Linked DNA regions of Yarrowia lipolytica. The protein of the gene in region 2 binds, or shares a complex with, the protein of the main gene of each other region. Links are inferred from orthologs where the notes say so. Each region holds a gene or a part of one and is shown on either strand. Other genes may lie near its edges. The genes, in order: YALI1_E18081g and YALI1_C33217g.

The links.
Region 1: YALI1_C33217g (region 2) and YALI1_E18081g share a complex: the UniProt entries of both Schizosaccharomyces pombe proteins name them as parts of the mediator complex. The link is inferred for Yarrowia lipolytica from reciprocal best matches to the Schizosaccharomyces pombe genes med31 and srb7.

The regions. Positions count from the first base shown.
Region 1 is NC_090774.1:1,806,233-1,809,273, reverse strand, and holds YALI1_E18081g (uncharacterized protein), read right to left. Parts: upstream 1,140-3,041; coding exon 612-1,139; downstream 1-611. Other genes in the region: YALI1_E18095g (uncharacterized protein), read left to right, coding at 1-395; YALI1_E18025g (uncharacterized protein), read right to left, coding at 2,147-3,041. UniProt on the Schizosaccharomyces pombe protein: Component of the Mediator complex, a coactivator involved in the regulated transcription of nearly all RNA polymerase II-dependent genes.
Region 2 is NC_090772.1:3,319,832-3,322,881, forward strand, and holds YALI1_C33217g (uncharacterized protein), read left to right. Parts: upstream 1-1,926; coding exon 1,927-2,025; intron 2,026-2,099; coding exon 2,100-2,483; downstream 2,484-3,050. Other genes in the region: YALI1_C33193g (uncharacterized protein), read left to right, coding at 1-259; YALI1_C33214g (uncharacterized protein), read right to left, coding at 410-1,588; YALI1_C33245g (uncharacterized protein), read right to left, coding at 2,625-3,050. UniProt on the Schizosaccharomyces pombe protein: Component of the Mediator complex, a coactivator involved in the regulated transcription of nearly all RNA polymerase II-dependent genes.

The DNA.
Region 1 (3,041 bases), on a different chromosome or scaffold from region 2:
CAAAGACCAACTACGACAATTTCATGGCCGCTTCGACCTTTAATTCTCGAATATCGAGGTTTAGCTATGATGAGCGGCCCCAATGCGCCCAGATCACGGTGTCACATGCCAGTGAGAAATTCACGATACACAGCAAGAAGGAGGAGAAGGGAGCGAAAACAGATCCCATCAGGATGTTTGGTATCATGCCACCATACACGCTTCGTATAGCACAGGGCCACTTCCAGAGTGCTGTTGATAAAATGGTTGAACTTGCAAATGTCAAAAGTAGACTGGAAGCTTTGGAGAACAAGATCAAGCCTACCGAAAAGGATGAAGAGAAAGATCCTACAACTGGGGACGTGACTACCGCCACCGCTACAAAAACTGAGGTTGCCGCTGTCGCAGCCTCTTGATTATTTATAATACATACAATACAAAAATTGATGCACTCTATAAAGATGTCGCCATTAGAACAGAGTGCTCCAGCTCCACAAGATGCTAGAGGCTTCTGGTATTACCAGTGATAAGAACGCCTCGCGGTAGGATGTGAGCAGGCCTAGTCTTACCCGTCGTGCCTCTTTTTCTGCTGCCCGTTTCGCAGGGCAGGCTTATCGGGTGTTTGCCCATCCTTACATGCTCTCCACGTCGATGTGGGCCTTTCTCTGTGCGAGCTTTAGAATCAGTTCATCACAGTGCTCCAACAACTCGTCCTTCTCCTTGATGACGTCTTCTGTTACCTGATCATAATGCTCCAGCTCCTTTTGCAGCTTTTCGATCTGCTGCATCTGATGTTCCTCCGAAGAACCGATACCTGGCAACGAATCTATGAGGTAATCAATCTGTTGTGACTTGACCACAAGGTCTTTCGCCAGCTCCTCTAGCGTTCTCTCGCGTTCTTCGTCTGTGACAACAGGCACCGTATCGTCCTTGACCAACTCTTCCCCCGCTAACGACTTGAACCCATGGTTGGTGTTAATGTGCGTTAGTGCCGAGAAATACTGGGTCAGCATTTGATCCACGCACGTCTGTAGCTGGGTCAGTCGGTCCGCCATGTTATGTGTCTTCGTCGCGTGTTTCTGATACTCCAAAGTGAGATTAATAATTTGGCTTTCTGGGAGATGTGTGCTGTATGCACCCATCTCAACCGGAGGTATCATGCATGTGGATGCGAGTCGCAATAAACGAAACGAGGAGGCGGAAATGAGACCGAAGTTCAAAAAGACTTCCGTAATACCACAATTGGAAAAGTCTAGGGTCGAATGTCTCGGTCCAATATGTTTAGCACGTGTCCAATCTTATTGGCTGGACTACCACTTTCAGTAGATTACGACATGGTTCAACTGACCTCGCTATTTGAAACCAACATCGATAGACTTGACTATGGGAGGGCATAATAAAAGCCCCACTCTCTGGTGTCTACAGTACTGTAGGTAGGTATTCCCACCAAACTGTGCGGCCCGCATGTATTCATATAATATTCCGCGCTAACCCTTGTGCAATGTTGTATGAACAGCTGGCAACCATATTGTCCATCATTCTGTGATGTAGACTACACCAACATACGCCACCGAAAATATCAGCAACTACTCACCATTTGACAGGACAAGGTCTTCCTCTTTATAATGACACCAATCCCCATACATTTGTTTACTTGAGTACTTGTTTGTGGTGTCTCGTACCCATACCCGTAGTGTGCTTATCGGCCCATAATTTGACCTCGGAGGTGTATCGTACATACAGTAGTCATAAAACATTCTCTAGCCTCGGTTTTACTGGAGAATAATACAAGGAAGGGAAATGTCAGGGGGGTCAGGGAAACGAGTGTCGTATTTCGGTTGCAACTGAGTGCCTACAGGTAATGTAAACCCATACATTTGTTTGATACATTTCTTATCTACTAGTACCGATACAGTATGTACACTACCGTAGGTGCGAAACTGTACAGTACAAGTAGCTGTCTGACATGAGGTACGGTAGCACTGTAGACCTTTTGCTGCAGTCACAGTAGCTACCGGTACCAGCACATGTAACTACAGTAGACTAAGGAAGGTCTATAGTGCTACCGTACAAAGTGTAACTACTTGTGCTGTACATACTGGTACAAGTGGATAAATTGTCCAGGGAAGACGTGATAATTAAAATGCATTGTTGTATCGTACATCACCTAAATCCAAGTTTGAGTCTGTTCATATGGCACGGAAGGTCGGTGTGCAGGGTTTTCCTCAGCAAGATCCTCCAAAATCGCTCCGTGAGAAGGTAGCGATGAAGTAGAAAGGTGTCTGCCATTAGTCATGTAAGGCTGTTGCTGTTGGGTCTGCTGCTGCTGGCCGTGTTGTTGCTGTTGCTGCTGCTGCTGCTGCTGTTGCTGTTGAGATAATAGAGGAGAGGGCAACAAGGCAGACCTTCGGAAGGTAGTCTGTGACGCATTGGGTGTGGAGGCAGCACTCTCAAGATCCGACTGTGGGGCAGTCTGGCACAACCAGTTGTGCTGCTCGACAAAGTCTGAGCCCGGAGATGTCCATGATGATCCAATCGAATCAGAAGAGGGCTGGTTCTTGATGAGTCCAAGGCCATGGTTCTTTCTGCGGAAGCCTGCATTTGAAGACGACGAAGAAGAGGGTGTTTGAGGAGTTTGCAATGTCTGGGGAGAGGACTCAAACTGTTGGGACAATCTTGGAGAATTGAACAAGGTCTGGGGGGCAACTCCAGGAGTCTGGATGAAGCCATTGATATCGTATGAAGTGGATCCACGTCGTCGTTCAGACCGCTGAGGGATTCGGGGTGATGCATAGGGAGACGTGGTGATCTCTGACTCGCCGTCCATCTCTTCCTCCTCCTCAATGTCCAAATCAGCATCGGAGAAGCGCCACGACTGTCGGTGGTTGACAGACAAATTGGGTGCTGGGAAAGCATTGAGATTGGGATTAGGAGAGTTGGCAGGAGAGGCTCTGCTGAGATTGCCGTTGTCCTTCAAGAGGTTGGCAACCCGCGCCGCATGTTCACTCTGGACAGAAGAAAATCGAGCTTCACGGCCATCTGGAGACATGCTGGGAGTGGTG
Region 2 (3,050 bases):
GGCTTTCGTTCGAAAAGTCAGACGATGCATCCAGCAGTTTCTCTTCAAGCGTCGTGTCTTTAACGAACTACAATCGTTAGGAGCCGAGGTTGATGCCGATGAAGCGTACAGAATGGTGCAACTCTCTCTACAGGGTGTCACATACACGCTTGTTTGTGGTCCCACCAGGGTAGAACGAGTTGTGGAGAAGCACAGTAAGCCGTTTCTCTTGGGTCCCTTGTCGGGATTGAGAAGGCGCATTGTTCGCGCCAATAGATAGCTCTTCTGACAAGAGATAGCTGCTCCGTTAGTAGTTCTCTATCGGCAAGTAGCTACTCGCTCTGACTAACAGTGGCTAGGCCACGATATTTATTCTTTTATAAGTTATTAATACCTGCACACATACTTACAGTACCGTGTACAACGTCTATCAATTGTTAGAGCCAACACTAGGCTTGGGTCGAGTCAGATAAGGAATAACGACGTAGACAAGCTGGACAGTCAGCAATCCAAAAATGACTCCCATAAGCTTCTCCCAGAAGGTGTGAAAGTACAGAGATGTCATAAAGTACATCCAAGTCCACAGAGCAGCGGTACCCAGAGCAATCTTGGCACTAAGCTTGTATGGTCGTCGCTTGATGTGAGGGATGGTCTCGTAGACGAGGAACATGGTGCTCAGCACCAGCAGGAAGCAGTGACCGGAAGGATCGTAGCCACCGATCCAGGTGCCCCCAGACCGTCTACAGGATGCTGATGATATCGTCTTACCAGTAATAGGGCTTGCGTTCTCCTTCTGGTACTCACACTTGCCACCGGTAGCCACAAAGAACCGGTCCATGATGGGGATACCAAGGAACCACTGGGTGAAGAGAAGCCACCACAGAGAGTGGATAATGTATCGGGAGAGCTGGCCAATGGGGGTAGGTGCAGAGATGCCGACCAGCAGTTTCAGAGCAGCGTTGGCCTTGCTATCGGAATTAGTTTCTGACACTCCGTCGTGGGTGGTTCCAGTTCGGGTTCCCGTAGAGGTGTTTGTGCCAAAGGAGACACCCAGGCCAATTGAACCAGAGAACGTCTCGTATACAATGTACCCAAATGCAATTGTGGTCCAGAGCCATCCATTCTTGACAAACAAGATGTTAAGGAAGTTTCGTTTGTCGGCAAAGTAGGTGTGGTCGACGATCTTGCCGACGAGGGCACCCAAGATAAGCACAGAGAATACCAAACCAATCAAGGACAGGTCAAGGAGAGAAAACATACCGTTTCCAAAACTCTTGGCGGTCAGCTCGGAGTGGAGGTCCGGGTGCTTGTAATTGTTGCGAACCGACGAGCTGGGGTTGGCGCCTCTTCTGTTGATGGGAGTCGTCCCATTTGCTTCTTGGGGTTGTCCCACGGGGATCTTGACGAGGTTGGGAAAAGACGATTCGAAGGCAGCGTCACCTTCACTGGCGGTATGAGTGCCGTCGGGGCCCACAACAGTGGTTGTGGAGACTGTTCCGCAGGTGGAAGTGGTGGTGGTCACTCCGTCGCTATCCACGGTTGTGGTTGTGGAAGTGAGTCCATCTGGACTGGTAATTGTTTCTTGCTTGACAATCTGGGGCTTTGACATTGTCGGTTTTGGAGAGTGGTAGCAATGCAACAGCAGCCTACTTGTAGTTTACCGTTTACCTTGCACTCAGCAGCCATGATAGCCAAATAGGCTTTCGTCACGTGTAGGGCTAGATTGGACAACGAGATTGCGGTATTTGCGGCATCTGTTTTGGGGTCTCCGGTCTCAACATTTTCATAAATATCCACTAGCGATAATAACTGCCAGGTTCCATTTCTTGCCCGAGCAGGCGCCCACTGACACGTCTATTTCAATGCCGACTTTATGTGCCACTGCACTTGCATATATCCTGCAAGCGACTTCCTGAAATCCAACAACACCACAATATCCACGGGAAAATGGCGGAGGTGGCAACAGCCGAAAAACCTGTGACCGACGGCATCCAGGACGGATCCGAACAGCCCGACCGGTCTCTTCGCTTTGAGGCCGAGCTGGAGGTGAGTATCGACGTCAGAACTTCGCCACAAACATGACCCACGTCGTGACATGATGACCCGTTCAATTAACACAGTTTGTTCAATCGCTGGCAAACCCGCAATACCTGTCATATCTGGCACACAACAAGTACTTAGAGTCACCAGAGTTCCTCAACTACCTCTCATACCTGGAGTATTGGCGAGAGCCAAAGTATGCAAGGTTCCTGGTCTACCCCAACTGTCTTCATGTTCTGAAACTGCTCCAGTACGCTACATTCCGCAAAGAAATCAGCCGGCCTGACTTTGCCAAGCAGCTCATGGACGAGTTCTACTACGCATGGATCAAGCCCAGTGAGGCCGGTGTGTTTGGAGATGACGATACGCTAGAGGGTCTGAAACGGGAGGACTCTCAGGCTCCGCCAGGACAAAACGTCAAGATGGAGAACAAGGACGGAGACGGCGATGTTCAGATGGCATAACTGTATCATCCTAAGAAAAAATCAGCATAATTAACCTACAATCCTTTTGGTGTGTGCAACTACTTACACAACCGTATGCCTTCTTCCAGCATGCATCATATAGAAATATATACTATTTTACATTTTCCCACGTCGTCTATATTATGTGGCAATCAGCTCTCGAGGAAGCATGATCTCGCTCACCTGCTTGATTCGCTGGATGAACTTGTCACGCTCATTGGGAGGCTTGGTGGGATCCTTCTCGCCCATATGGTATGGCAGCCACTTTGCCAAAAGCTCGCCGTCCTCCTTGCACGTAACCATATATAAGGTAGTGTTTTGGTTGGCGCCTAGAAGAGGCCGAGATGTGTTTAGACTGAAGTGGTAGAACTCGTGGTTGGGATCTGGAAGCAATGGAGGAGCCTCGTCCTCTTCTTCCTCTTCTTCCTCCGCAACCACCTCCTCAGTAGCAGGAGTCTCCTCGTCTCCTTCATTCCCCTCCTCCTTGGTAGGTTGCTGAGCAGCCTTCTTGATAGGCTTCTTCTTTTTCGGCTTGGGAGGGTGAGCCTCGTTGTATGCTATCAGCTC